4 linked regions of the Tamandua tetradactyla genome follow. The protein of the gene in region 2 interacts with the protein of the main gene of each other region in a biochemical or structural test. Links are inferred from orthologs where the notes say so. Each region holds a gene or a part of one and is shown on either strand. Other genes may lie near its edges. The genes, in order: CD2, CD2BP2, LRRK1 and PRPF6.

Region 1 (7,976 bases), on a different chromosome or scaffold from region 2:
TTATTAATATAAACAATGCAGTGATGAACAATCTCGGGAAGTTATGTCTTTGTTCATAGCCTCCCTGTAAGGGGGCTCCCTAGAAGAGGCATGGATGGGTCAAAGGGGAGCACTTTATTAAGACCTTCCCATGGCTGAGCATACCATTTACCTGTAAGGTGCCCTCCAAGACCTCTTCAGCAAGAAACTATGAAGCCCATTAGAGAGGGGCAGGGAAGCTGGGGTCTGTGACTAAAGCCACAAGAGGCATGGAGAAACAAAGAGATGGGGGAGGGCACTCTCGTGGAGCAGACACGTCTCGTGCCCCACGCATGGCAAAGCACATTTACATACGTTGTCTCATTAAATCCCTTAATGTCTTTTGCAGTATTTTTTTTTTTAAACCACATTCAGAGCAGATCAAGAATTCCGCTCAAGCCCATGAGCAAGTATTGGCGACAGGACCCCATACCGAGTTAAGATATTGAGGGATCTTCATGCACCCCCAGCAAACAGCAAGGTGCTCATTACGTCATGGGAGAGTCACTCCTCTTCCGCCAAAGGGTATGAGGTTTCTTTTGGGGGTAATGAAACTATTCTAAAATTGATCGTGGTGATGTTCTCACAACTGTGTGAGCATACGAGAAACCACTGGATTGTACACTTTAAATGGGTGAATTGTATGGCGTGTGAATTCGAGCCATACAATTATATAAATAAATAAAGTTAGAAATAACCATCCCTGCCAACAGGGGCCCTGGGTTTGAATCCTGGCTTCGTTCTTTGGTCTTTATGAGACCTTGGGCAAGTTGCTTCTGTCTGAGTCTCTGCTTCTTTATAGGTAATAAGGGATAATAACTATGTCTTAGGGTTGTTGTTGAGCTTTAAATAAGATGATGTACATGAAGCCCCTGACATCTAGTGGCATCAACTACTGGTAGCCATTGTGGTCACTCTGATATGAAATGAGGCATGAATTGGACAGCACCAGCATGGCTCTGGTTGATTTAACAGGGCCCTTGAGCTCATGCTGGCTGGAGGTGTAGGATCTGTGGCTCCCAGAGTCCTAAACAGGAGCCCCTTCTGGCTCCATTCTCAGCCCTACACCATTTCTAGATTATATTTCCATTCGAGGGGGCAGGACTAGGGTTTCAAAAGTTGCCCTTTGCTTGGGTCCCAACAATCTCTGGGATTGTCGGAGTGGGGCTGCTGTTAAGTCCCCAGGCTGAGCCCTGGCCTGAAAGTGTTACCCCAGAGAAGAGGAAGGGCCCCTGCCTTGGGTGGCATTTCCTGTGTGAAGTACAGAGCTGTTTGTTTGCTCACTGAATCACAGTCTTTGCTGGGGCTGGATTCCTGCCTTCCTCTCCAAGCCAAGTGTCGGGTCATCTTCTCATTTCCCCTTACTGCTCCCTACCCAGTGTCCCTTGGACTTTCAGCCTTGTTATCATTTCAATTCCTCTTTCTCATTCCTCAGTTTATCCTGCAAAGCATCTTGTCCATCCTTTTTCCATTCCCGACCCTCAGTAGGCTCATTCTTCCTCCTTTTACAGGCACCCAAAAAGTAAAGTCTAAGCCAGTGGTTGACAACCTCGATTGCTTATGAGAATCCCTCGGGGACATTTTAGAAATGCGCCCAAGCTGCACATTGAGAAATTCTGATTTTACCAGACTGTGGTTGGGCCTGGGTGCCGAAAACTTTTAACGGCATCCCAGCTGATTCTAAAGGACATGGTTAAGAAGCACTAGCCAGCCCCTCCTCATTTCACTTGGATTATAGCAGCACCTTCCTGGCTGGTCTTCCTCCCTCATCTTCAGTGACCACTCCTGCCCTCCCAAAACGCAGACATACAAAGGCACACCCTGTGTATTCTTTTTTAACACGCATCAGCAAAAATCTCTGTCCACCTTCAACCACTTTGATGCTGGGAGGACAGCAACAAGGACCTGCCTCCTCAAAGTCATTGTTTCCAGCCCTTTCCTGCCATAGAACGACTCCTTTTAGGGCACCTGGCTTGAAATTTTCTATCTGAAAATTTGCCGCTCTCTACCGAGCCGCTCCTTCCCTTCCCCGCACCCCTAACTGCTTGGCTCATCATGCACCTGGGACGGCCACCTTTTTCTCTGTTCACTTGTTCGCTTCCTTCTGATTAACGCCACCTTAATCCATGTTCTTGAACCAGTCCTGCATCCCCGTAGGCACCGGAGAGTTTTAGGCGGCTGAACTTGAAGGCCCATCAACTGTTTATTTCCACATGGGTGGATTCCATCTCTCCCACCAGCCTGTGGTCCCCACTGGGACAGGAGACGTACTTTAGATTTCCCTTACAGCTCCCCAGGAGGCCAAGGGAAGTGCTGGGGACATTCCATAAACATTATTAACCAACTTGCTAAACGGGACCCTTGCTGAAATGGAGGAATTTAAAAAGCAAAGACTTACCCAGAGTCTTCAACGTGAATGCTTTTTCCAGCACATGTTTTCCATTCTCATGATATACATTTACTATGTAGGTATTGCTGTAATTTCTCATCAGATTTTTAATTTTCAGAGTTCCATTCGGGAACACCTCGTACGGGTACGTGCTAGTTATTTTACTTTTCGTGAATCGTGCAATCCTGGTATTTCCAATTTTCCACTGTATATCACCCGTCGGCTGATTTACTAGAGAATCAGGAATGTTCAAGTAGAACTCACGGCCGAGGGCACCCCAGACCTCTTTAGGGACTGCACCTGTGAAAAGCAAGAAAGTTCCTGAGATCTGAAGATCCACTGCCAACACAGGTTGGGCTGTGGTCTCTTCAACTCTTGCACACGCCACAGGGTCTCCAAAGAGGCTTTTAGCTGTGACGATAGACACCCACACAGTAACTTACCTTTGGCAGAAACATGGAAAATCAGAAGGAAGCTGGCGAAAATTTCACATGAGAGGTTCATCTTTGGGGTTAGTTTCCTTGTTGTGATTCTAAGCTCTTCTTGCAAAAAAAGAATTGAAGCAGGACTGGTGGAACCCACGCCCTGAGAGCTTAACCATGTGCCCCGCTTTTTTTAGGTCCTTTTACAGGAGTGTAGAACAAACACACACACACACACACACACACACATACACGCACGCAGGCGCGCGCACACAAACAGAATCAGCAAAATAATGTGTCTGACGCTCTCCTTTGCTAAAGCAGGTGTGTTCGTGAATATGTGTTTTCTAATCATGTTGGGAGCTTCACAAAAATCTTGGGTGGGTTTCATTATCCCCACTGAAGAAAAGAGGAACCGAGAGGCTAATAAATCACCCAGGAGCAGCCTTTAGTAAAGGAGGGATCACATTCTCCCATCCAGCCCGTCCTCTATCCACTTTACTGTGTTGTCATTTAAATATGAGTAAATGTTTGTCAGTGACTAGCAGAATACAAGCGAGTATCCTACGATGTTGGAGTGTTCTAAAATTGTTTTTGTGATTTAAAAAAGGAAACAAATATGACTTGATTCTCAGCTATAAATGCTTGGAGTCCCCAAATCTTATGTTGCACTATACATTTTACAACTCTATTGTAATTTCCACAGTTAAGTAAACAAAAACTTGTTCCAAAACAACCAAAGAAGCATAAAAACTATGAAATACTATTAAACAACCCGAACTAATGATTTAAAAACGTTTACGACAATTAACATTTTAGATGGTTAAGAGAAAGGGATGGATATGGAGAGAGAAAAACAAGTGAAAGGGAACTGGGAGAGAGAGAGAGAGAGAAAGGAAATTTGTAATACAAAAAAGAGAAACAGTGAGACAGAGATGGATGCTCCCGGCGAAAGATTCACAGATACCCCAGTCATGGGACATCAATGACAGATTTCCAAAGTAAAAACGACACATTTCCAAAGTTAATATCCAGTTTTATAATTCTTTAGGATACAGTGAGTAAAATCTTAAAAGTTGTGCTTTTTTTTTTGTCAATTTCAGGTAAACTATGGATATTATCTCTGAAAAAGTCCAGGAAATGAAATTAAGTCGAAGGAAAGGATCTCTACCATTGGGTAAAGGGAAGCCTAACTGAAATACTTACCTCACGGTTATGTGAAAATTCCTAACTGTCAAATCACCCACAGAAAAACAGTTGGATTAAAGTTTTAAATGTTAAGAAAACAAAAAAACTATAAGAGTGCAAAAGAAATATAGAAATCCATTTTCATTTCTTTGCATATGGAAGGTCTTTCTATAAAAAATTAACTTTCTAGAATTAATAAATACAGACATGAAAATTCAAAGTGTATGTAAGCCAAAAATATAGTAAACAAAATGAAAAGACATGACAGAAAATATTTTCTGTCTATGTGAAAAATTATTACCTAAGATATAGAAATAGTTCCTTATCAATCAGTAAGAAAAAGAACCTGGTTTTTAAAATGGGCAAAGGACTTGAATGAACAATTTATAGAAGAAATATAAATAGTTAATAAACATACAAGAAGTTTAACCTCACCTATATTTATGTGTCTAATAGTACAAAATACCATTTTTTTAACCATCAGATAGGCAAACTGAGAAGATCATTTACATTATGGACAAAAATATGGGGCAAAACAAGCACCTTCATACAATATTGGAGTGAGTGTAAATCATTATCTCCAGGGAGGGGTCAGAATTTGACAATTTTCACTAAACTTTAAAATATATATATTTTTAAATTACCCAGTAATTATATATTTAAAATTACCCAGTAATTTTAGTTCAAGAAATCTGTCCTATACAAATGTTTGTGTAACATGCAAAAGTTTCGTTCAAGGATGCTTGTTGTAGCATTTTTGAGTAACAAAAATTTGCAAACAATTAAATTATGGTATATTCAGTTTATGAAATATTCTATAACAGTTCAAATAGAATGAAGAAGAACAAAATTAAGACATGGAATGATACCTTTGATAAATTACATGATAATACATAAAGTTATCAACTTCTGTGACGTTTGAACACATTTTTTTTAAATTGTGAAATATAACATACATACAAAAAAGCCATGAATTTCAAAGTACATTGTAACATGTAATTATAAAACAGATTTCAGAGTTTGGTATGGGATATAATTCTATAATTTCACAATTTCCCTTCTAGCTACTCCAAGATACTGGAGACTAAAAAAAAAAATGTCGATATAATAATTCAGCAGTCATACTCATTTTCTTAGCTCTCATGGAATAAGTGGAAAACAGCTTTCAGTTCTTCTTTTAGAAATATTCATTCTGTCCCTCTCATATCTAACTCAAAACAGCATGAGGTACGTGGCTTGGAGAGGAGAAACCATGAATAAGAAAAGGATTGATATAAGTCTGATTACATAAAATTGCAAACCTGTTTGTAAAAAAATTAATGCTTAAACTGTACAGAGTTTCTATTTGGGTCGATTGTAAAGCTTTGGTAATGGACTGTAGTGAAGATAGCACAAAATTATGAATGCAATTAACAGCGCTGAATTATGTATTTGAACGTGATTAAAAGGAGGGAAATGGTAGGTTGCATATATATTATTAGAATAAAAATTAAAAAACAAACATAGAACTATAAACACAAGCAATGAGCCGTGTATAACCAATGAGGCTTTGGACTATGTTTAATGTACAATTGTTAAAATGTTCTTTCATGAATTACAACAAATGTACCACACTAATACAAGTGTTAATAATAGTGTGCTATATGAGAACGCTGTATTTTATGCATGTTTGTTTGTAAACCTACAACTTCATTAATTAAAAGAAAGTCATAAAAAAGATTAAGAGATAAAGTACTAACAGGGACAAATTTATTTGTGGGATATGTGATAAAGGTTCATATCCTTCAAATTAAAATTCTGTTATGAACGTAGAAAGAAAAGACGATAACTTGATGTGGTGAAGATCATGAAAGGAACATTCACAAAAAAAGAAAGACAATAGAAGTATAAATCTATGAAAACATACTCAATTTATTAATAATCGAAGAAATGTAAATTTAAACATAGATGTCATACATTTTTCATCTTTCATAACTTACAAATGAAAATATACAGACAGTGCTGATGATTGCGGGGAAAAGGGCATTCTTAAATACGGTCAGGAGAAATGCAAATAGGGACGCAGTTTCTGGCTGCCAACTTGTCAGTCTGAATCAGAAGCATCAAAAACATTTTATTTAAATTTTGTCCTAACAAATCCACAACTATGATTTAATCCTAAGGAAATAATGATGGAGACATCCTAAGACTTGGTTATAAGTTTATACACCGCAGCATTTTTTGTATGTCAAAAATTGTCAGCTTAAATAGTCAATAGAAGGAAATTGGGTGAGTAACTCACCATATGGACAAACTGGGATGTAAAAAAAACAGGTTACAAAGAAAAAAACCAAAAAACAGTAAAGTCACTTTTTTTTTTCCTTAACAAGTGTGTGTGTGTGTCTGTTGGAAGGATTTCCTCCAGGCATTGATCCCTGAGGGATGGATAATGGTTACTGTTTTGTTGTTGATATTGTTATATTTTTCAATTGAACATGTGTCGCTTTTTAATGCCTTTTAAATTCTAAGTGGGTCCCCCAAGCACTGAGGGAGGGTGCAGTCCCTGATTTAGTGTGTGTGATTTCCGGGAAAAATCTGGTCCAAGACTCATCCTCCCTTACCACCCTCACTGCAACTGAAGGGGCGTGTCTTCACTTAGCATCTTGAACCATTTTTCTTACCCAAACTAACACTCCCGGTGAAACAGAGTAAAGGGACGAGATTAAGCAGCAGAAGAGGGAAGAAGGGCAGGTTCTTAGAGGTCTTGCTTCGGGGCAGCTTCCTGTCCCCTCAGTAGCAAAATCGTGACCCCCAACTCCTGTCTGCCTCCCTGCGTGTCACCCTAAAGTACTAACTGAGAACCAGGTCCCTCGCTCAGCACTGTGGCCACAAGACCCGTTTTCTGTAGTTCTTACCCAATCGAATGTCCTGAATCAGGAGCTTTTAGAGCAGAAAGACCCTCAGGAAGGGATCGGATTGCCTCTCCATGCTTCCCTGGGGACCCTGTGGCCAGAGAAGGTCCTGGGCTGTGTCTGTCCACCTCAGTCAAGCCAGCAGCTGAGTCCCTCCCTGCCTTTCCAACCTGAGGCCCAAATGCTAGGACACAGTGTACTTCCCACTTAAACCTCCCCCACCCCATGAGCCCCCTAAATTTAGGCAGTCACCAAGCCCAGACTTGCCCTCCTCTGTCTTCCCTCTAGCATCTCCTTGCGAGCCCCACACACTCAGGTGAGAACAATTGAAAAAGGAGCCCTGGGTCTCAGACTAAAATTCGCCATCCATTTTGGCTCCGTGGTTACTAGAAAGGCCCCTGGCATGGCTGTCTGCAGCCCAGACTCTGCTGACGCTGAGCTTGGGCCTATCTGGGAGGTCCCATCAGCGTCAGATCCGAAGTCATCGGTTTAGGGTTAGGTGTCTGCCAGGCAGTGGGCTGGGCCTCTCACACAAACCACTCCCACATAGCCAGCGGCTGGGGTGCCTTCCACCCGGAGACATGTGCTCTTTCCCAATTAGGAAAGCCAGTCTCCAAGAACCTACTCCTTCGCCAGGCACTGCTTCCTTCGGGGGCCCAGACTGGGTTTGCTTTTCCTCTTGGGCTTCCCGCCCACACAGCCCAGTGGGCAGAACCAACCCACGATGATAGCTCGTGTGCAAAGATGCATGGATTCCTGAGATGACAATCACCAGCCTGGAAGTCCCCAAGGGGGAAATGCCCCTGAGAGAAGATGGGGTGAGTGATTGCCTGCCCCCAGTTTTATATACTCATGTGATTAAAGAGAAAAGTTCCTTGGGCCAAACAGCCCCAGCGCAGCACTCACCCGGCATGCAGATGGAGCTGTGTCAGTTCACGCCTCCATCCTCTTCCCACATTTGCGAAAAAGGACAGTACTCAGTTCAAGAGGTTCTCCTGAGAACACAGGAGTCTCGCACGGTGCCCAGTCCTTAGGAGACCCTCAGCGAGCATCAGCTTTCTGTCCCCT
Region 2 (7,822 bases):
ACCTTGAAGGTTTATGGGATGAGGGAGGGAGGCAGGGACAAAGACTGGGAGGGAAAAAAAGCACAGCCTGTGCTGGGGAATGGGTAGGGAGCATGTGGGTGTGCAGCCGAGGGTTGGGGGCTGGAGCCTGGAATGCTTTGTTGGTGGTCTCAACCTTTGGCAAGGACTTCAAAGGCAGGACTAGGAAGCAGTTGGGGGCGGAGTGAAATGCTGAGGTTAATCTGGGGCTGGGCTGGGGCTGCTGGAGGCAGAGAGCTCCCAGCTCCCATGATGGTCCTCCCATCTCCCTCTCCCCCACAGGCAGCAGGATCTGTATCGCATCCTCAAGGCCTACACCATCTACCGGCCTGACGAGGGCTACTGCCAAGCCCAGGCCCCCGTGGCTGCAGTGCTGCTCATGCACATGCCCGCTGAGGTCAGTAGACACTGGTCCTGGTCGGGGGGTGGCAGGATGTTGGTCTGCAATGGTGATGAGGGGGGAGGGAACTCCCTACTTTACATTCCTCAGACCCCATCCCGCCCTCCTTGTTCTTGCCCTTCTCAGCAAGCCTTTTGGTGCCTGGTGCAGATCTGTGACAAGTACCTCCCTGGCTATTACAGTGCAGGGCTGGTGAGTATCTAGGGGTACCTGGGGCTATGACTTTTCCCCAAGGCTGCAAGGAGGTCCTGTCCCACCCTGGCCCTTCCATCCCTCTCCTCTGGGCTTTTCCTCCCTGAGGTGAGGGTTCACTACCAGGGCCAGTTCCACCCTAAGGGGGCTGCATCAGGCCAGACCCTCTTCTCATGGCATATCCCACCTCCAGGAGGCCATTCAGCTGGACGGAGAGATCTTTTTTGCATTGTTGCGCCGGGCCTCCCCACTGGCACACCGGCACCTGCGGCGACAGCGCATTGACCCTGTGCTCTACATGACAGAGTGGTTCATGTGCATCTTTGCCCGCACCCTGCCCTGGGCTTCAGTGCTGCGCGTCTGGGACATGTTTTTCTGTGAAGGTACTTCTGTGGCCACCCAGGCCATGAGGGGACTTGGATTTCCACAGTGATTGTCATAGGGCTCTGCCGCATTTCTGGTGCCCCCCTGACTAAAGGTACTTGTTGAACTTTGCTGTAAGCAGCTCAAGGGCTAGAGAAACCAAAGCCTGCTCTTGGTTCTGCCATGGACCACGGCCTGCTCTCCCTCTCAGGCACAAGAAATGAGGCAACTAATTTCCCTTCCCAGGACCTCAATTTCCTTACCTGTGAGGTGGGCAGTAGGAGAGATGGGAGCTGTAAGTCCCTTCTAAATGGGACAGGCCAAAATCCCAGGCCTGATCCCCCCATATTCTTCTCCTTGACCCTGCAGGCGTCAAGATCATCTTCCGAGTGGCCCTGGTGCTGCTGCGGCACACGCTGGGCTCGGTGGAGAAGCTGCGTTCCTGCCAAGGCATGTATGAGACCATGGAGCAGCTACGCAACCTACCCCAGCAGTGCATGCAGGAGGACTTTCTGGTGCACGAGGTAGGCTTTGACCTCAGCACACCTCACACCTGCTTTGGCCCATCCCCACACCTCATATTCATTCTTGTACCCATTTCCTCTCCATCTAGGTGACCAACCTCCCAGTGACAGAGACACTGATTGAGCGGGAAAATACAACCCAGCTCAAGAAGTGGCGAGAAACTCGGGGAGAGCTGCAGTATCGTCCCTCACGGCGGCTGCATGGCTCTCGGGCCATCCACGAGGAGCGCCGGCGGCAGCAGCCACCCCTGGGCCCCTCTTCCAGCCTCCTCAGCCTCCCTGGCCTCAAGAGCCGAGGCACCCGTGCAGCCAGTGGGGCCCCCCCCTCCCCGCCCCCTCCTGTCCGCAGGGCCAGTGCTGGGCCTGCCCCAGGGCCTGTGGTCACCGCTGAGGGACTGCACCCATCCCTTCCCTCACCTACTGGCAACAGCACCCCTTTGGGTTCCAGCAAGGAGACTCGGAAGCAGGAGAAGGAGAGGCAGAAACAAGAAAAAGAGCGTGAGAAGGAGCGGCAGAAGCAAGAGAAAGAACGGGAGAAGCAGGAGAAGGAGCGGCAGAAGTGGGAAAAAGAGCAGGAAAAAGAACAGCAGAAGCAGGAGAAGGAGCGGCAGAAGCAGGAAAAGGAGCGGCAGAAGCAGGAGAAGAAGGCCCAAGGCCGGAAGCTTTCACTGCGTCGAAAGGCAGATGGGCCCCCAGCCCCTCAGGATGGCGGGGATAAGTCCTCAGCAGCTGAGGTCCAGCAGGACGCTTACTTCTGACTTCTCCCCTGGGGCTGAACTGCATGGCCCCCTTCTCCCCTTAGCCAAGAGCAGGCCTGGCCTGGGGTGCTGTCCCTAGCTCCCATAGCAGGCCATCTCTCCCTCTTGGGAAAGTGGCTTGATTCCTTGTCTCTTTGCCATCTGCTGCTCCTACACGGTCAAGACAGTCGCATTATATGGGGCAGCTGTGTTTCCCTGGGACAGCCATGGACAAGTCTTGGTGTCCCTCACCTGCAGTTAGGCCCAGCCTGGGTCTTTTACTCCTGCCCCAACTGCTTCTGGGATCCCCTCCCAGGTACGGTCCTGGTTGACCTCTTGTCACCAGTGGTGACTCTTGGCAATGGGAGTAAGTGATTTTCAGACTCTTGCCCTCTTATCCATGAGGTGGAGCTAGAGTCTCCCTCCTTCAGTCCTGCCTGTCTGCCCCACTTCCTGGCTGGGGGCCAAGGTTTTCATCACTCTACTTCTGGACATCTATGTGCTGTAATTATGTACTGAGGGCCAAGCCAGCCTGGGGTAGGGGCACTTGCTCTGTCTTCTGTCCTTTGGTTTTCCTTCCACAATGCTATTGTACCCATTAATTTAAGGGACATACACCGGAATAGGAAATGTCCCCCCACTTCCCCTTCCACTGCCCTTCTGTGCTTCCTCTTCCTCACCCACTTTCCTCTGTATTCTCAGGCCTCCCCTGCTTTTTCTCACCAGGGCCTCCCACCTTTCACCTTGTTTCCTTCCAACCCTCCAGCCCCTAACTGAGTAAGGGGTCTTTCCTTGAGCTCCAGAGGGTGGGACCCATGTTTACATTCTCTTCTCCTGTCCCTGTCTCTGCCCTGTGCGGCGCTTTAAGGAACCGGAAAAGAATCTGCTGTTGTACCTGGGCCTGTCTCGTGCCTTGTTATTTGGGTGAGGAAGGATGGGGTATGAAGTAGGGAGGAAGAGGGAAGCCAGGACCTGGGTTTGTATTGAAGCAGTCTGCTGATTATTGCAGGTATTTCTTGGCCTTTGGTCCGTCTCTCAGTCACTTCTTAACAAACATTGGTTGAGCTCTTGCCCAGCCTTGCCTGGCATCTGCTGCTTCCATTGACACTGGCTTCCTGGAGCCCTCTTTGTGCCACCTGCAGCATCCAGATCTCCTTCCCAAAGCACTCATAAAGCTCCTAGAAGCCAGAGGGGGCACTGAGGGTGACTAGGGAGCCATAGTCCTCTGGGGATGGGTTGGGCTGGTAGCCAGCTGCCTGGTACAGCTCCTAGTACTGGGCCTCCAGACCAGGTAGCAGGTGTAGCCAGTTGCCTTCAGCTTGCCAGTGCCCACAGCCAGGCGTTCAGACCCTGTTGGTTTTCTGTGGCCAACTTGTAGATCCTCCCATCCTGTGCCTTTTGCCCCAGGGGTCAGGATAGACAGCTCCACCTGGCAGTTTTCCAGCAAGATGAGACTAGGTGATCCACCTGGTGCTCCAAATAGAAGAGGTTTCCCCAGAAGATAAACCAGTATTCCTGGTAGCTGGTATTTCAGACCCTCTTCTTCAGTAAGATGTCCTGATCTGGGGTGTGCTCTGTACCCATGTAAAAAAACTAAGCACTTTTTGTAGAGGTTCATGTGATCCAAACTGGGAGGAAATACTGGGGCAGGCAGAGGAGGGGTGGGCCAGCAGATTTCCCTGCCCGCCCCTCCATGCTACCCTCTGGCTCCAGTGGGCTCTTTCTGGGCCTGGCCTGGCCTAGTGGGATTCAGGCTCTGAATGTCCACAAGAGCTGGGGGCCTTTTCCCTCTTTCCAACCCCAGCTTCTCAGCACTGGCCAAGACTCATCACCTGCATAAGGCACCACAGGTTGGGGCCTTGTTTGGTAAAGGGGAAGCTTTATCCTGTGGCTGTAGTTTCAGACACATGCTGCTACCCTTTTTCATGCCTACCTGACAGCAGGGTTCGAGGGGCCTGGGGCCTGGATACTGCGCACTGGTCCCACTGAGTTGGCTTTCCGACCTGGAAACTAGGAGCTCATCCTGGGGCGGGGCATGGGGCAAATGGGTCCTAAAGGGAACTGGGTTCTGAAACCAAAGTGTGGTCAAGGGCCCCCGAGGCGCATCATCTGAAGAGCCGGGCTTCCTCTCGACGGGAAAAAGAGTAAAGCCACTCCTCCCAGGCTATGAAAGAAGATGGCAGAATATTAGACGCTCTGAGTAGGAAGGGAGAATTTCTCAGAAATGATGAGGGCGCAGAACCCTTGGCCAGCCCTGTAGGAAGGGTGACTCGAACACTGGAAAGAAAAACTAGGGCAGGAATCGTTGATTCTGCTTGGACTTTGCCCCTCTATCCAGACCCCTGGCGCCCTCTTAAACCGAGTGGACTCCACTTTCCCCAGAGCCTCAACTGCTGTCTTACGGAATCGAAACCACTTGCTGCCACCTCTCTGGTATGATCAGGCATCCATATATCCTCTTTTCTTGCTATGGCCTCCCCACGCAGCTCACGTCACCTCTCGCGGTGGGTGTCTTCCCTCTTTCCCTGAGTACTTCCGCCCGCTCTTCCAGTTAGTGTAAACGCAGTGAAGCCACTTCCGGCTTTCTTTGGCGCCTTCCGCATTTCTCTTCCGGGTAGTGGCGCCCGGGTGCCCCGGATGTAACTCTAGCGACAGCCTTCTTGCTTTCGTTCCCCTCCTCCCCTGGAGCCCCAGGTGATCGCGCGCGGGTGGGTTTCCTGGGATCCTCGTATGCTTGCCGTCCCTCTAATTTGTATTCGTACCCCAGGATAGTTAGGGGTTGCCCCGCGGAATTGGGAGTTCGGCGTAAGAAGGAGCAGAGAGGCCCGGACTCCAGGTCCTGAGTCCGCGCGGGCCCCGCGGTCTCTGGAAACTGGGCGGCGGGAGGGGGTTGCGGTGTAACCCGCGGAGCCCTGTTTCGCTGTGGCCTGCGGGGCTTGGGGATGAGGGTGGTCACATGGGGGAAGCTCTCTCCTTTGGTCAAAAATGGGGGTACCGACGGTGGCCATGGGAAAATCCTTTACAGTCCCTGCTTCAGCCACGTTCTTGAATGCCAGACCAAACCCCTGAGGTCGACTGTCTGCCAGCTCCGCTTTTGGCTCCTGACTCTAATGCTCCCTCGCCTCCCGAACTGGACCTGGCATGTACCGGAAGAAAAATTTGCTGTGCCAGGGGCCCTCTGGTGGCTAGTCTCCACCTCGCCCAGATCTCTAATTCTCCACTCTTCTCGGCACAGCTTAGGGGATCCCACCGTTCCGTCATGCCAAAGAGGAAAGTGACCTTCCAGGGCGTGGGGGATGAAAATGATGAGGATGAAATGATTGCCCCCAAGAAGAAGGTGAGGGGACCAGACTCCTGCGTTCTGGGGGACTAGTAGAGAGGAGGCAAAAGCCTGAAGAGGAAGGAAGTTGGTGGGACAAAGATGTTGGAGGGTTGGCTTTTCCATATTGTTTTAGGAGTGGGTTTGGAGGATTTTCAGTTTGGGTCAATGTTTTGGGGAGCAGCCAGTAACCTTCATCTCTCACCTGTATACAGATGGTGGACCCTGTGGCTGGGGGCCCTGGGAGCCGCTTCAAAGGCAAACACTCTTTGGACAGTGATGAGGAGGATGACGACGAGGAGGGGTCCCGCAAATATGACATCCTGGCCTCAGAGGATGTGGAAGGTGAGCCATACCCCAAAATTTGACTCTCAACTGGAGGGACAAGGAGGGGCTTCTGAGTTGTGGGGCAAGGGAGATTCTTGTCTCTTTTTTGCCTCACATAGAGAGTCTATGTCTTTGGTTCAGGTCAGGAAGCAGCCACACTCCCCAGCGAGGGGGGTGTGCGAATCACGCCCTTCAACCTGCAGGAAGAGATGGAGGAAGGCCACTTTGATGCAGATGGCAACTACTTCCTGAACCGGGATGCTCAGATCCGAGACAGCTGGCTGGACAACATTGACTGGGTGTGGCCCAGGGGATGGCATGTCTGTGGCCTGGGGGCAGTGGGTGCTGGACCTGGGGCCTTCTGGCAGTTTGTAGGAAGTAAGTCCTTTGTCTTCAATTACAGGTAAAGATCCGGGAGCGACCACCTGATCAGCGCCAGGCCTCAGATTCAGAGGAGGAGGACAGTCTGGGCCAGACACCGATGAGTGCCCAAGCCCTCCTGGAGGGCCTTCTGGAGCTGCTGCTGCCAAGGGAGACAGTTGCTGGAGCATTGAGGCGCCTGGGAGCCCGAGGAGGAGGCAAAGGGGGCAGCAAGGGTCCTGGGCGGCCCAGCTCCCCCCAGCGCCTGGATCGACTTTCGGGATTGGCTGACCAGATGGTGGCCCGGGGCAACCTTGGTGTGTATCAGGAGACTCGGGAACGGTTGGCCATGCGACTGAAGGGGCTAGGGTGCCGGACCCAGGGGTCTCATGATCCTACACCCCCACCCACTCTGGACATGTTCGCTGAGGAAGTGGCAGAGAGGGAGCTGGAGACGCCAACCGCTGTCCAGAGAGGTAAGTGTAGAGGGCAGAAAAGGAAGGTTGTGGGCAGGGGAAGGGCAACTGAGGCCCAAATGGCTTTGTCTCTTGTTTTAGAAGCAGAGTCACTTGGGGATGGTCTGGCGGAAGTGATGTGGGAATATAAGTGGGAGAACACAGGGGATGCTGAGCTCTATGGGCCTTTTACCAGCACCCAGATGCAGGTAAGCTCCTTTCTGCTTTGTTCTGCCTTGTCTCCCTTACCCTTCCCCCTGCTTCCAGTCCTCCCCCAGCTCTGCCCTCTCTCCCTGCAGACCTGGGTGAATGAAGGCTACTTCTCGGATGGTGTATATTGCCGGAAGCTGGACCCCCCTGGTGGTCAGTTCTACAACTCCAAACGCATTGACTTTGACCTCTACACCTGAGCCCATTGCGGGCCCAGGATACTGGCCCCTTCCTTCCTGGACTCTAAATTGGCCCCAACTGCCTCAGGCAGTGAGGACATTGAGGGCCACCTCTCAGTTTCCTTTTCCCAATAAATGCCTTTAGTTGTGTATTGGGGCCTTGGCTCTGCTGGTGACCAGAAGCAGGGGGCCTCTTCCACAGCCCCTATGGAGTCACCTCAGTCCTTGAGTATTGCCTCCCATGAAGTTACTCCTTGGAAGTTTCTCTGTGTTCTCTCCAATCACCTCATCTTTGTTTACCACTCTTGTGGAGCAGATCCAGGGCCTGTCAAATGTCCGTGGCCTCCCCACCTGGACTCTGCCATCTGAAAATCCCATCACTCACCCTCCAGGCTCCTCTGTTAGTTCCTGTTTTGCTCTTCATAGGACTTTGGCCTTCAGGACATTAGAGTCTCAGTTCTCACAGCCAGCAGGAGATAGAGCCCCAGGAGTGGAAATATTAGGCCTTGAATGGCTGGGACATCTGGTAGATTTTGTGATCCTTTTGGGAGTGAGCAGGAAGCATCTTCCTCACTGGCTCCCCACTCTCTCAAGCTCCTTAGAAGTCGGACAGAAACAGGTTGTGTAAGTCAATATTATCTAAGACCTCTAAGATCTTCAGAGCCAGTATGTTTTCATATTTTGGCTCCTCTTCTATCCCTTTCACCAGTTCCTAAGACTCCTTGTTGTTCTTGGGTG
Region 3 (7,470 bases), on a different chromosome or scaffold from region 2:
CGAAATACACCCAGCAACACTTCAAAAATCCAAACGCTAGGCATTCCTTTTGAAAACAGAAATGTCTTACCATACAATGTTTTAGAGCTAAAAAAAAAATCTTTAAAATATTTTAGGCTTACCCTCACCCAGCATATTTTGTTCCCCTTTTCATTTTCAGTTTCCTTTTGAAAATCACTTTACCAGAGGAGGATTTTGCCCCCGGAGCAGTTTTAATTATAATTTGTACATTTGTTTATACTCTAAGGTAATAGTTTTAAGATGAGGTAACACAAGTTTTACGCTATCTTTGCCCTCAAACTGATCTTTGCTTCCTCCTTTTTCTTTTGAGTTCAGACCAATGCAATAACTCATGGTCATAAATTATATATATGTATATATATATTCTTTTCATTATGATATATACCTCTTAGGTGGGCTTCAAGAGGATTTCTGAAATAATAATTGTCCTAGATATTTTTCAAAATTCAATTTTTTTTCCATTTGCTAATCCCTTATACTTGCATTAATGAATAAACCTAAATACTTATTGGAAAAACAAACAAACAAACAAGGAACCTGCTGTTAATTCTACAACTGTTTATTGAGCCCTTTCTGTGAGGCATGAACTTCGTGAGTTCATGAAACTTACAGCTGGTGGGGAGGAAGTCAAGTCAGTTACAGCTACAAAGTTTCCATCAGGGAAGAAACAGGAGACCCCGCACCCCCCACACTGTTTTCTTTCAAGAGATTTGGAAAGGGCTGCCACAACCAGAGTTGCAAGACACTTGCAAAAGAAACAAACACATTAGAAATACTAACACAGACCAGCTCCTTTTTAAATCAAAAGCCTGGTCAAGTTGATTGCTCCATGGTTCTAGACCTTCCTTTAGCATTATTAGTATCCCTTTACTGATATCCATTCGTCTTCAAAATGCATTGACAGGTTTGTGAATATCAAGATAATCATGGAGCTGCACACAGGAAAAGTGTGTGGTTCTCAAACCTAGAGGAGTTCCTAAGGGTTTGGCAAAAGAAGAACCCATGAGCCCGAAACCACAAATAAGTGAAGGCTGTCCCATTCACCATTCAGTTACACCAACAGTCTGCACTGGGCATCTCCTGTGCAAGGCAGGGTTCTAGGAATCAGGGACTGGGTGAGGAACATGTTAGGCACAGTCTCTAACCCCAGGAAGCCAAAGTTGGGGAACAGCCAGGTAATTAAAAGAGAAATGGAATAAAGAAAGTATACACAAACACAAACAGCGGAGAATGTAAGAAGGACACAAAGAGAGGGATGTGAGAGAGAAGGAGGGTGGGTTTAGCCAGGTTCGACAAGGCAGGCCTTCTAGAACCTTCTGAGGTATCAACCTCATCAAGAGTCAAAGGACAGCAATGCAGAGGCCCCGCACTGGGGACTGAGCTCAGTCAGGGTGACTGGGAGTCCAGTGGGGCAGCCCTCCCAGATGACAGAGACCAGATCCTGCAGGGGTAGAGGGGAAGGGGTTCTCTAGATTTCATGCCAATTACAAGGAGAAGCTCTTGAAGGCTCCCAAGCAGAGGAGTGACATAATCTTATTTACCTTTTCTTTTTCTTAAAAAAAAAAAAAAAACCTCTCTGGTTCCTAGAGAATGGAGTGGGTGGGGTAGGGTGGAAGACAGCAATCCTAGGGGAAAGAGGTGTTGGCATCTTGGGCTAGGGTTGGAGGCTGAGAAAGAAGTGGATGGCCCTGGGACACCTCTGGAGGTAGCCCCAACGGAACTTACTGAGGAACTGTATTCGGGGCATGAGAAAACGGGATCAAGGATAACGCCTAGGGATCCGTTCATAGCAACTGAGTTGAGATAGGGCCACTCCCTGACACGCAGCAGCCTGGGGGAAGAGAGGGCGTTGGTTGACATCAAGAGCTCCTTTAAGAATTTGGTAGGTGTGAGGTTTGTATGCCATAACCTTACGTTTTCACCTAAGTTATGCTTACAAGACATAAGCAAAGATACTGAGAAGAAAATCCTAATAAAATATTTAACTGTTTCCATTTACCAAAACCCTGCGTATGTTAGTTGTATCATTAATATTCCAATAGATTGATAATACCTCTAAAAATCATCTACTCTTTGGGTGGGGGTGGGAGTTAGCTAAAAAAAACAGCTCTCGGTTCCTGGGTTTCTCTGCCTCTCAAGCCGCTGCTTGCACTTGTGTTCGTGGGAGGAAAAATTTTGTGCGTGGCCATCAAACTGCAAACGGCCACCTGGTCTGGCTGGCCACCAAGCAAGCTCTGGCCTCCCCCATCACCATCTCCCGCCAACCCCCCGGGGCGCCCCGGGCTGCACTCATCTCACCGCCCCTGTGACGGCTGGGGAGGTCACCCGCAGGGGAGGTCACCCGCAGGGAAGGCCTTTGGTCTTAATATCCGGCCAGAGATGCTACCCTTGAGCCAGGACGCCCCTGACTGTGGACAGTGAAGGCACCCTGGGTCTTCCCGCATCACCCGGGCCGCCCCTGGGAGAGTGAGAGCCCGGGGCTGTCCCTTCCAACACCCTCGCACTCACGCTCACAAACACGCGCGCGCTCCAAGTGGAAGGAGGAGTTTTCTCCAAAGGCGGAGGAGACGCCGAGACGCCCGCCTGGTGGATTTTCCTACTTTTGTTTCTTGTCGCTGCTCCCCCTCCCCCTCGCCGTCCCGGGGCCGTCCTGCGCAGAGATCGGGGGTTCGGGGGCTTCCCCCTGGGCCCCGCACACGCCTCCGCCCCGGCCCGCGGGGGGGTGGCTCGGGTTCACGCGCGACTTCAGGAATCGGGGCTGTGATCGCCGCGCCCCGGGAGCCCCCTCGGGATGTGAACGCGGCCCCTGGGTCAGGGCGCCCGGTCCCCCACCACGCGGCCGCCCCGAACGCGGGGCCCGGGCTGCGCCGCCCGCGGGCGCAGGGCCAGAAGGCTCCACGCAGACCCCCGAGTGCGGGCCCGGCCGGGGCGAGCGCCGGGAGCCGCGGGGTCGGGTCGGGATGCGGGAGGCCGCCTGCCACCCCGGCGGCCCGGGCAGCGCTTACCTGCGGCGGCGGCGGGCGGGCTGCAGAGCAGGGGCTTCCCGGGGCGGGCAGGAGGACACCGGCGGGCCGGGCCTGGCGCTCCGACCGCCCTCCGCCCCCCGCGCCTCGGGCGGCGCGCCGGGGCCGGGCCGGGACCAGACGCACTTCCTCAATCCTGAGGCGGGCGGGAGGGCGGCGCGAGGAGCGCGGGGCGAGGCCGAGGCGTCCCGAGGCTGGGGGCGCCGCTGCGGCTCCCACCGACGTGCGGACCCGGCGGCCCCTTGGTGCCCTGCCTCAGTTTCCCCCAGCCGGCAAACGCAGGTACGAGCAAGTTTCCTGCTCCCAGCCCCAGGAGATGACTGGGCCCCAGGGTCCTTCCTGAGCGAGGCCCTCCTCCAGGTTTGGGGACTCCGCGTAACGCACACCGGGTCCCTTCAGATTAATCAGATTAATCAATTCCTTTTCGGATTAATCTGGTTTTCGTTGTCCCTCTGCTCTGTCCAGCATCATCATTTCCGGATTAACCTCGCATTTGAATGCTGCCCAAATTCCCGCAAAGCAAGGGTTGAAAATACCAGTGCAACCTGCCTACAGAGCTGTATGAAACTAGGGTGTTTTTTTTTTTAAATGTTCTTTTTTGCAAGCTGCACCTCTTCCACCACCTTAACTGACTACCTACCTTAATTGTGGATCTACGCAAAGATGAAGCTATTTGGTGAATCATTTTTTTAAAATTTATTAATTAAAAAAATTAAGAACAACAAAAACATTAACGTATCATTCGGTTCTACATACATAATCAGTAATTCTCAATATCTTCACATAGTTGCATATTCATCATTGGTGAATCATTTTTAACTGTCTGCTTTTTAAATTTGTAGTTCAGACATGGTGCCATGTGGCCGATTAATTATGCCTCAACCTAATATATGAGGATGTTTGTCACCCACTGAGGCACTAAGGCACCCACACATGTCCACGCGGCAGGCAGCCCTCTGATTTTTGACATTCTTGTCCACTGAGGAAGGAGAAGCGGGCTCAGAAAAAGCGAATCGTTCCGCACCCTGGCAGGACAAGCACCCGGGGCGCCTCTCGTGTAGGGCAACGGCTGGGAGAGCCCCAGGACTTAGCGCAAAGCACATGGGCAAATCGCCACGACTCTCAGGGCCCGGCCCCTTGCTGTCTGAGGGGACCTGGGCAGCTTGGCTCTGCTCCCAGGCGGCTGCCCCTCAGACCCTTCTTGCATCGGGCGCCCTTCCAAGAGGGCGGGTGCAGTTTTGCAATCCCTTTTTTTCCCATCGGCCTCCTAATACCAGGATGCAAGGCCAGCAGTATTGCGGCTATCGAAAAGTCCCTAATCATTTGCAGGGCGGGGCGTCATTGGTGTTGAGCGCGGCGCCTTCCCAGCGCGCGGCCCCGCCACCCAGCGACTCGGTGGGGAAGCGCAGCCTAGTCCCGGGCAGACCTTGGAGTGGACAGGCACCAATGTAATGCTTCACTTCCCTTATAAAAGAGTTTGTTAGTGGGATAGAAAATGGCCCCAATACGAAAAGCAGACAGAACATTCGACACACGGGTGTCCCATTTTGAGCTGGCTATTCCCCATCAGTCAGCTCTATCCATTGGGGGTGACTTATCAGGTTCTTATGGGAAGGTCCTTACAGGTCAGATGATTCCTTTCTCCTTTCTTTCACCCTGCTAATGCATGGTCCTCTCACATTGTGCTCAGTATTCCACCCAGCTTTTCAGCACCTCAAGTTGGAAGGCTCCCTCTCTTAAATATTTTACGAGGGATCCGATCCAAATTTTCTCTTAATGGAGCTGTGCTTCGCCAACACATGGCAAGAGTGTTTTGGATTTTTGAAATCAAATGCACAGTTTGACCTTGGTGAACCTAATGAAGTATAAGGAATGTTCTAGATCCAATCTCTGTGTCAACTCGAGACTTGGTGACTGAGGCTTCTTGTTTAGAAGTCTTAGAAATTTGAGGTAAGTTAAACCCAAATATCTAGTGCCTTGTGGAGAGAGAACCAAAAAATGGACACAGTAAAGGGAATACAATGTTTTCCCTAAATTTGCACACAACCCTTCATGCAACTATCCACACACATGGCAAACGTTATCAGCTTAGATGACCAGCTTAAGTCTAGCCATTGAAGACACAGAGCCACTAAGGCAGAGCTCCCTGCCTGGTCAACCCCAGTGTTTTTCACAGACACAGGCGAAGCATTGAGGCCTGATCAATTGAGCAAATGTAATTTTATTCTTCAGCCACTGGTACTGCTATATTACAGGTCATTTTGCATAGAAGGTCTAGGAAAGAGAAAAACTCAACCAGAGAATTAAAATGGGTTTGGTTCTCAAATGAAAAAGCATAAAGTTTCTCAAATATCCGATTTTATTTGATCATAGCTCCATTGTAACTTAATCTGCAGTTAGGATCAGAATTCCCAGGCCAATAGGGTTTTAAACTGTATCACAGGGTAAACCTTTAAAGAAGTAAAATCTAACACTATATAGATTTCCATTTCTAAATACAGTATATTACAGAAGGCATATCACCTCTGTGTACTTACAAACTATAAAAAGATACAATAACTCTACCAATTATAAATAATGTAGCATTTCATATTAAAGGCATTATTGTACAATGAAAGAATAAGAACCCTCTAATGTATTATGATCAAGGTTAGTGTAATAGTTGAGAACAAAATACTGAAAATTCAGTGTATGAAATAAAATCCTGATTTAACAAATTCTTGGTAGTGTAAGTGCTAACTGATGGAGAGGGTGTGAATTATATATTGTGGATTTCTGACAAGGATGAAAACCCTCTTTCGCACATGGCTTCCTTTGTACACAAACTGGTTTCGATGGTGAACTTAATTTTATAATTGCCTCCCCTCCCTCAACTTAATTCTCAAATGTAAGTAATAATTTTCCAATTAGGAAAGTACAAATTAGTAACATTAAAAGCATCTGAGGAACATAAAATTTGGTTTCTCTCTTTTTTTAAAGCTATATGGAAACACTTTCAGTTTTCCAAGCTGAAACAGAGGAAATTGCACATGATTTGGATACACAAACAGGAACAGCTCTACAACTTGTTAGTGAAGTGTTCAGACTTGGATCTAGTAGGAAACCCCACTCCTCCATGGAGTCCATGCCTTACTTGTTGACTAATCAGAAATTAATATCCAAAACAGGGCTTTTTAAAAACAGGGCTATATTATGACACGTTTCTTTCCAGTTGTGTGTGCTTTAATAACCTAAAATGGATAACCAAACTGGAAGAAGGAAAAAGTATATAGGCTTATCATAAACCACTAACGAATGTGGCAGCATTGCATAACCTGTAAAAGTGAATTATTGCTGTATTGTTTTATTTTTTAAATTGTGAGACAATTACTGGAGGATGTGCTATACTGTCTTAGTGCCAGAGCATTGGATTCTTAGCAGCAAAGGTGATTCTAACAATTGTTTTGCCTAAGAAAGTGCCTTGATAGTCCATGACATATGTTTAGAATAAGCTCTTTGGGCTGTTGATTCAGTTATATTGCAAAGGCGGTATTGGTTTTCAGCTGTGTTCAATGCTCAGTGCGCCTGTCTTTGAAGACCCACGTGCACCCAAAGCCTTCTGCAACCTTCCCCAAAGCTTGTATGAGCTTCCCCAAAGCTCCCCACAGTGGGTCCTCACAATCCCTTTTTTTATTAGTTTTAACTCAGCGCTAGTCCATTTCCCACTGAACAGTGCCTTTCAGTCTTATCCCAGGAGGAGGAAGTGCTTGTTCTATTTGCAGGTGAGCCGAGCACACCACAAAGGCAGGGCCAGGCGTGCAGACCCTGCCGAGAGTTTTTTCCAAATTCTTACCGTGGTCAGATTCGGCAAAGCATTTTTAAGCAACCATTGGACACTTCAAATGCCACTCCCCCTGAAAACAACGTGGTGAGCACTGTCCCTGTCCCCCGGGACCTGGTCTAAAGGGGGAAGACAGAAATGGCTGAGAGCTCTGCCCGGACAGTGCTACAATCTTGCACACAACCTACGGGCATCCCCAGCTAGATCAATAGAATAGAGTCAGAGGAAAACAAACTCGTTCAAATCCAGTCGACTGAAAGTTTCCAGGGGGAGGCATCCCGGGAAAGTCCGAAATGTAGTTGTTTTTCTTCGGCAAGTGTCGCCCGCCGCACTCAGCTGTCAAATGTTTGAGGAAGGACTCTGCCTGAACTTCAGTGGTCCTTGTCGTCGAGTTTGATGGTGACGGTTTTCACCTCTGTGTACTCACTGAGGGCATACTCGCCTCTGTGATCACAGAAAAGAGAAATATTCAGAATGGGCGCTTTCCTTACCCTTTCCATAGAAACTGTGTTCAGCTACTTTATGGACCATTCCTCTCTGTTGGGTACTTTGGAATTTACACAAAAGATCAAAATGTGATGACTTGATGGACGTATAGTCTGGACG
Region 4 (7,543 bases), on a different chromosome or scaffold from region 2:
TAAACTGAAAACCAAAAATTGTGCTAATGAGGTAAGCATTTCCTCCCATACAAACCCCACCAGTAAGAGAAAACATCTCTAGGTGGAAAATGCTCACTGAATAATCTCTTTCTTCATACAAACCAAAATTAAGAGATAAGCTACAAAATAACTGATCAGTGCTTTTCAAAATTGTCAAGGTCATGTTAGACTGAGGAGCTGTCCCAACTGAGGAGACTAAGACAACATGATGACTAAACATAACAGGTCCTGGACAAGGTCCTGGGCCAGAAAAAGGACATCAGTGGAAAAACCGGCAAATTTACATGACCTATAAATTGGTTAATAGTACTGTATCAGTGTTTAATTTTCTGGTTTCAATAATTGCACTAAGGTTATGCAAGACGTTAACATAAAGGGAAGCCTGGTGAAGGGAACTCTGAAATTTTTTCTGAATTTTTTTTTTAATCTTCCTGTCACTTAGGAAAGATGCCATTTGTTAGCATACACCTGAAGGAAATGTCAACTCACCAAAGACCAGTTACCCAACTCACTAAGAGGGTGAGAACTAAAGTAAAAGAAAACAAATGTTATCACTAATAACACTCTAAGCTTTCATCACTAAATACCAGCCAAGACAAAACACCAAGGCAATGGTTCTAATATTTGCAAGTATATTTCCTCTGAAGAGACAGCAAAAGAGCACATTTCAGTGTTTTTCCCTGCTCTCCTCACACTCTGCCAATGGCATCCCATGAACAGCTGAAATATGAAATGTACCTGCCTTCCTTGAGCATGCTGGGTAAGAAAACTGGTCAGCCCTTCTAGGGACTGGCAGGGAGCCCAAGGAAAGTCCACGACACAGGAGGTCACCTCATAGGGTCACCACATGGGGTCAGTCACCTCATCGTAGTTGGTGTCGTTCAGATCTTCGTCATCATCATCTGCAGCCTGGTTTTTCTTCATCTGGTCACCAACGGTCCTCTTGCCTGGCGGTGCATGGCGGTCATCTACTGGGTCATTTGCGTCCCGGGCGGGCCCAATGTCTGACCGGGTGGTGAAGCCAGTGGCACTGCGGGAGAAAGCTGCTCAGGGGATCCAAGAGGCCCACCTGCACATGATCCGGGTTACCCTGTTCCCGTGTTCTCCCAACCACCCTCCTTGATAACCTACAGCACCTTTTTTTCTAACATCTGTGAGAAACCTCCAAAAGACATTGGTGGCTATTGTCTTTGGGCAATAAACCTTCCAAGGGGGTTTATTGGGGATGCCAAGGCTCCAAGTCTTCCCTACTTTCTCTTCCACACAAGATGCCCAGAGAATCAAGTCATCCTTTCTCCTAAGTTCCAGCCTTGCATTTCCAACAACCTACTGATCATCTCTACCTTGACATCCAATGAGTCCCTCACACCAACTTGGCCCAAACCAAGTCCTCTGTCTGTCTTGCTCTGCTCTGGGCTGTTTCAAGTGGTGATGGCAGTGCCAAGGCAGGCACCAGAGCATCACCTTCGCCTCCCTCCTTCCTCACCTCCGACCAATCTGTACCCAAGTCCTACTGATCCTACCTATGGGCTATCTCCTCTCCCGACCATAGGACTCCCATCTGGTTGGGAGGCAAATGAGCCTTTCTGCCTCTGGCCTTCTCCTGCTTAAACCCATGCAAGCACTGCTCTAAACAGGCCATCTCAGTCGCCACCACTTTTCCTAAGCCTAACTAAGCTCAGACTGATGTCCAAGGCCCTGCTGACCTCCAGCATCTTTCCCTTCACCACATGATCCATTCACACTGGCCTCCTGCTGTGCTTTCTTCCTCAGTGCTTCTCCCTTTTTTTTTTTTTTTAACCCACACAGAATGTCAGCTTCTGCTCTACCTCTGCCACCTTTCTACATCTCTAAAGTCAACCCTCCTTCAGAACCTGGCTCAAATGCTGCCACAGAGGATTCCCTAGTCTTGGGAACCCCAGAGTTCTCAATCAGTTCCTCTTCAGGTTATTTATGCAAATGTCTCACCTCACCTGAACACCCACGAGAGAAGCTCGTTAGTTTTCCTAGTCAAATGACTAACTAAGCAAAGAAAATAAAGACTGTTCATTTATTCAACAATGTATGTGTTCTGTGTGATAAGCATTGGGACCGGATTTCAAGCCTCGCAGATGCCATCCCTGTCCCTGGGGGACTAAGAGTTTAAACAAGCAACGTGAACGCTACTAGAGAGAAAAAACAGGGTACTAGAAGCTGCTACAACTGAGGCGCCTCATGCAGCCTGGATAGTCAGGAAAAGTTCAGTCACGTTTAGGTCAAGACCGGCAGGAAGAGTGGGTGATGCCTGGCCTGGGGAGGACACTACACATGAGTTTCTACTCCAGGGTGGTTTTACAGCGATATTCCTCAACACGGGTCTCTAAGTGAAAAGTTACATCTCTGCTGAGGAGCAGGGAGATTCCTACTTAGGTCTTTGCTGACCCCGAGCCCAGCGTTTCCCACGAGGCTCGGGCCAAACCACCGCCTGTCTTTCAGATTGTGTGGCTGCAGACTTTAACTTTTATTATTGTTCTTGTTTGGCAAGCTACCCTAAGTCCTGCTGTCTCCAGGGGTTAAGCGTGGATACAATCAGAACGGTCCTTCCCAAGTGGACAAAAAAGCAGAGATGCAGGTGGGAGAAGGCCGGGTCAGAAAGGGAGAGTGATACCCAGCCCGATTCCGTCTCCCTCTCCCTTCCCAAGCGCACCTCCCGCCGCCCCGGCCCCGCCCCAGGACCCCTCCCCAGGCACACACCTCCCGCCGCCCCAGCCCGGCCCTCAGTCCGCTCCGCAGCCCGCCCAAGCCTCACCCGCGGCCCAACCCCGGCACATAGCCCAGAGGCGCAGGCATGCCCAAGAACGGTTTCTTCTTCTTGTTCATGGCGGCGGCGGCTTGATCGGAAAACTACAAGGCCTCAAACGCAAATCCAGGAGCACTGACGCCGAGGCTTCGCCGCGGACACAGGACGCGTCCCGCGTCACCCGCGACCCGGAAGCATAGTTCGCGGTCCGCGCGAAGCCCCGCCCACCCGCGGGGGTTGGGCGGAAGTTCCTCGAACGCTGTTTCCGGCAACTCCAGACCACTGCTGTAGTGCTGGGATGCTGGTGGCCACGTCTGCTGGTGGCCAGGTGGGCAGCGCCCGTCCGGCTCGAAGGGGTCAAAGGGCCACAACACCCAGGACAAACCCTGCGGGACCCTAACATGGCGCCTGTGGCATTTCTGTTTTCTGAGTGTTGAGTGTTCTCAGATGCGTTTCGCGAGGAGGCCTTCCTGTGCTAACAGGACCCCTCCCCATCGAAGCCAGCCCGGCTGCCAGGGTCCCATCCTATTCGGCCTCCGCTAACCCCCCTGCCCCTCAGAGCTGCCCTGGTCTTCCAGACAGGCAGGCCCTAATGTCATCTGAGCAGAGCTGCACGCCCATGTGTGTATGTTCTGATTGTGGGCAAACCTGTCTGTTGTGCATCTCTTGTACACAGATTCCCCGGCCCCAGTTGAGCCGCTGGTCCCTGGCAGTCAATCCAGGGACTCCCGCTGCGGTCGGGCGGCACCCGTGCCCTCAACCGTTCCCTGAACATTCTGGTGAGGGCCCGAGCCCTGCCTGTTTTGTTCACTGCACGTCCCCAAGCCGAGTGAACATCAAGGCCCCTGCAGACATGTCCACATACACGTCAGTATGTATGCATGGGCAGTCACAGCATGTGGGTAAATTCTGTGTCAATGTTGTGTATTGGTGGGATGTGCTCAGGTCAGGTTGCATATGTGTGCATATATTTCGGTGGACATGTATGACTGAAATCTGCATGCATTATTGCATGTGGATGTGCATCTTTGCTCATTCTGGCTGGGGAGGCATCCTCCACTCCCGAACATACCTGGGGGAGCACCGAGGCCCCTCCCACTCTTGACCACATCTGCTCTCTGGCAGAGCAGGCAAAGGCCAGCTGGTGCTGGGCAGGGCGACCACACACTTTTCCCTGTGCCCTAGCCCACCTCAGCACTTTTCACTGGGGAACCCAGAGCAAACACATCCCTCCTATCTCATATAGCCTCCCTCTCCCCTGCAATCTTTAACTGAGCCTCACTCATCTCAGTCCCTGAGATGTGCAGGGTGCTGCACCAGACGCTCAGTGTCCTTCTGAAATTCACAGGATGGTGGGGACAAAGGAGAGATAAAACTGGTGTCTCCGAGGTGACCATGCCGGGCCCACTGGAGGAGAGGTCTGTAGAATGCGAATGTGTGAATAAAAGAGTGAACGAATAAATTAATGAGGTAGTGTCTACGTGGGACATGACTCCCAGGGGTGTGGACCTTCCTGGCAATGTGGGACAGAAATCCTGGAATGAGCTGAGACTCAGCATCAGGGGATTGAGAAAACCTTCTCCACCAAAAGGGGGAAGAGTGAAATGAGACAAAGTATCAGTGGCTGAGAGATTCCAAACAGAGTCCAGAGGTTATCCTGGAGGTTATTCTTACACATTATATAGATAGCACCTTGTTAGTAAGGATGTAGTGGAGAGGCTGGAGGGAACTGCCTGAAAATGTGGAGCTGTGTTCAGGTAACCACGTTTCTTGAAGATGATTGTATAATGCTATAGCTTTCACAATGTGGCTGTGTGATTGTGAAAACGTTGTGTCTGATGCTCCTTTTATCCACCTCATCAACACACGAGTAAAACTTGGAATAAAAATAAATAATAGGGGGAACAAATGTTAAAAAAAATTTTGCCTGAAATGCTAGTGATCAATGAAAGGGAGAGGCAAGGTGTATGGTATATATGAATTTTTTTCTGTTATCTTATTTCTTTTTCTGAATTGATGCAAATGTTCTAAGAAATGATCATGATGATGAATATGCAACTATGTGATGATATTGTGAATTATTGATTATATATGTAGAATGGAATGATCAAAAGTTACGAATGTTTGTGTTTGGTCTTTTTTGGTATTTAATTTTTTTTTTAATTAATTAAAAAAAATAATGAGGTAGGTAACTTGAGGGAGGTGTTAGGAGGGTCTGCTCTGGCTCTTGGTTTGGGCTCCTAAGGGTGGATGGCCCAGAAGTAGGTACGATTCGCCCCCCTCACCCCAATACAGGGGACCCAGTAGTCCCCACGATCCCTACCTCAGACGCAAGTTCTCCTTGCGTCTTCGGAGCCCTGCCAGGTGCGGACGGACGCCCTGTGCCCTCGCATACAGTCTTTGCACACGCAGACCCGAGCGCGCGCGCGCGTGCGCGCCGCCACACCGCCGAGCTCCCAGAGCGCGCGGGGCGCAGGGGCTCTGCGGGCAGGTGTCTCGCGCGCAGACTCGCCGGCCGCGGAGACCCGGCGCTGCTGACCACAGCGGCTCAGGCGCGACGACCCGCTCAGGCGCGGGGGGCGCGGCGCTCGGTGGGGCGGGGCAGCGGCGCGCGTTCCCCGCTACCACACCAGCCGCGGTGCGCTCGGCTAGGGGCGTATGCGCGCGGGCCCCATGTTCACCGAGCTGAGGTCCAAGCTGAGCCCCCCAAGGGGTGGCGCCGGGGCCGTGCGCGCCGGCTTCGGGGAGCGCCGGGATGTGGATGGTGAGCGGGGCCGCGCCCGGCTAGGGGCTGTGGAACGAGGGAGGCGGGACCCTGCTGGCTTGGAGCGGTGGGGTGCTGAGGGGGGCGGGCCCTGGCCGCACAGGGTCCCCTTGGCCTTTGTCCTGTGTGGAGGGTCGGAGGAGGGCAAGTCGACTTAAGACCTTAAGGACCAGTGCGCCCTTGGCCGGGCTCCTGTCGCCAGGCTGGCAGCACACTGGGGTCACCTTTTTCTTCGCGCGCAGAAAACCCTATCTGGCCCTGGCAGCGAGGCCGAGAAGGTGTGAGGTCACAGCCCAAATTGCTGCCTACTCCTCATTCCCTGCTAGAATTCCGACGTTAGACTGGGAAGGACCCACCGACCTGTGGACGGAAGCCCCTTCCCCTAGTGCCAAGCAGGAAATGGGCGGGGCCCGGCCAACCCCGGGCAGGTGCGCGCGGGGGCGGCCGACTGGCTTCCTGGAAGAGTGCGGGGAGGTCCGGGCCCAGCGCCTCTGCCCTGAATGGTGCGGCCTTAGAATAAGTCTTTGCCCACGTTACTAGAAGACAATTCTCGGGGTGGGGCCCACACCGACCCCACCCTCCGAGTCTGACTCACCACCTCAAACTTAGAGTCACTTAGGTACAGGTGGAGGGCGTAATTCCCAACCTGGGGGAGGTGGAAAGAGAAGGGTGGGATGCTGATTTGCTTGTGGGGAGACTTCCTGGGCACACGCCCAAGCCCGGCCCCAGGCGGTGGGGACCCGGGATTGGTCTTGGAGAGGAGGTAGGGTCTCTCCTTCTAGGGCTAAAGGGGGAGAAAGGAGCACTGGCCCTTGGCCTCAGCACGGACCCCTACCCTGCTGACCCAGAGCTTGGGTCCCAACTTCCTGTCTCTCCCACCACTTCTCTTGACTTTGCCACACGGAGCTTTCCCCTTCCACCCTTCCTGCCTTCCCTTCTTTCTTCCTTCCCTCCCTTTTGCTCTCTCCTTCCTTTCTTCCTTCCTTCACAATGTTTCTCATGGACCTTCTGGCTCCTATCAAGGTGAATGTCCTGCCTGATCTCATTTCAGCAAAGATCCCAGAAATGACTGTAAAGCAGATGCTTGACAAGGGTGATGCAGCTGGTGGGGGACGAGGGAGTCTGGGCATGCCATGGTTCCCAGGCCTGATGCGTGTGCCACACCTGTGCTGAACCAGTATGCGCCTGCCTGCACTGCCACATGCCCAGTGCTGACCTGGGCCTGGTGACTCCCCATGGCCGGGCAGGGAAGGGGGCAGCCCATGCAGAAGGCAGCAAGGCAGGAAATCCCTACATGTGTTTGGGGAATCCTGACTGTCACTTGCCCAGAATTCGGATTTCTCTTCGATGAGTCATGTGGGTGAGCTGCAGCAGGGGCTCGGTCAGGCCTCGAAGACCTGGTGCAGCTACAGAGACTGGGAGTGGTGAGCGGTAACAATCAGGAACACATGCTCAGAGGCCCCCACTTACACACGTCCAGGTATCGGGGACACTGAGGCCAGCCTTTCTGGTGGCGGGTCCTACACATTTGTGTGTGTGTAACACATGGGCCAGCCCCAGCTAGGAAGGAGTTGGAGCTGCCTAGGATAGAGTCCTCACCTAGCTAGGGGTCAGTGACCCCCTGTGAGCTGGGAGACAGTCTTTCCTGCTGCAGGCAGTCCTCTGTCTTCAGAGCACAGGCTGGGGCTTGGAAGGGGAAAGTGTTCACAGTTCTTCATCTTTGGGCCTGGTGGCCACCTCGAGCCAGCTCCCTTCATGATTCCTCCTGCCTCTGGGGGCTTGGGACCGTCATTAGTAGAGGGGAAAGGGGGCTGAGCTGGGAGCTGGCTGGGGGAGAGGAACCTCTAACTTCACCACTGGCTGCCACTGACCAGCCTCCCTTGCCCTCCAGCCACCGCCCATTTCAGCTTCTGCCGGACCCTCCTGGAACACACAGTGTCAGCTGAGAGCATCCCCTGCCACCTGCCAAGGACGCCAGG

Evidence for each region.
Region 1: the proteins of CD2BP2 (region 2) and CD2 interact in a biophysical measurement, tested with the Homo sapiens proteins (6 studies listed by BioGRID and IntAct, with this or other methods). The link is inferred for Tamandua tetradactyla from reciprocal best matches to the Homo sapiens genes CD2BP2 and CD2.
Region 3: the proteins of CD2BP2 (region 2) and LRRK1 form a complex in vitro, tested with the Homo sapiens proteins (2 studies listed by BioGRID and IntAct, with this or other methods). The link is inferred for Tamandua tetradactyla from reciprocal best matches to the Homo sapiens genes CD2BP2 and LRRK1.
Region 4: the proteins of CD2BP2 (region 2) and PRPF6 form a complex in vitro, tested with the Homo sapiens proteins (2 studies listed by BioGRID and IntAct). The link is inferred for Tamandua tetradactyla from reciprocal best matches to the Homo sapiens genes CD2BP2 and PRPF6.

What each region holds. Positions count from the first base shown.
Region 1 is NC_135337.1:4,206,716-4,214,691, forward strand, and holds the start of CD2 (T-cell surface antigen CD2), read right to left. Parts: upstream 3,052-7,976; 5' UTR 2,912-3,051; coding exon 2,851-2,911; intron 2,708-2,850; coding exon 2,417-2,707; intron 1-2,416. UniProt on the Homo sapiens protein: CD2 interacts with lymphocyte function-associated antigen CD58 (LFA-3) and CD48/BCM1 to mediate adhesion between T-cells and other cell types. CD2 is implicated in the triggering of T-cells, the cytoplasmic domain is implicated in the signaling function.
Region 2 is NC_135349.1:24,201,998-24,209,819, forward strand, and holds CD2BP2 (CD2 antigen cytoplasmic tail-binding protein 2), read left to right. Parts: upstream 1-4,848; 5' UTR 4,849-4,928; exon of another isoform or gene 4,929-4,942; intron 4,943-4,948; exon of another isoform or gene 4,949-5,070; intron 5,071-5,469; 5' UTR 5,470-5,493; coding exon 5,494-5,571; intron 5,572-5,768; coding exon 5,769-5,898; intron 5,899-6,021; coding exon 6,022-6,179; intron 6,180-6,283; coding exon 6,284-6,716; intron 6,717-6,797; coding exon 6,798-6,904; intron 6,905-6,973; coding exon 6,974-7,105; 3' UTR 7,106-7,236; downstream 7,237-7,822. Other genes in the region: TBC1D10B (TBC1 domain family member 10B), read left to right, coding at 301-415, 545-610, 804-993, 1,343-1,497, 1,587-2,255. UniProt on the Homo sapiens protein: Involved in pre-mRNA splicing as component of the U5 snRNP complex that is involved in spliceosome assembly.
Region 3 is NC_135338.1:83,680,621-83,688,090, forward strand, and holds the start of LRRK1 (leucine-rich repeat serine/threonine-protein kinase 1), read right to left. Parts: upstream 3,137-7,470; 5' UTR 3,027-3,136; intron 1-3,026. Other genes in the region: ALDH1A3 (retinaldehyde dehydrogenase 3), read right to left, coding at 7,236-7,308.
Region 4 is NC_135327.1:61,424,142-61,431,684, reverse strand, and holds the start of PRPF6 (pre-mRNA-processing factor 6), read right to left. Parts: upstream 3,014-7,543; 5' UTR 2,881-3,013; coding exon 2,810-2,880; intron 1,052-2,809; coding exon 883-1,051; intron 5-882; coding exon 1-4. Other genes in the region: SAMD10 (sterile alpha motif domain-containing protein 10), read left to right, coding at 5,459-5,564, 7,456-7,543. UniProt on the Homo sapiens protein: Involved in pre-mRNA splicing as component of the U4/U6-U5 tri-snRNP complex, one of the building blocks of the spliceosome.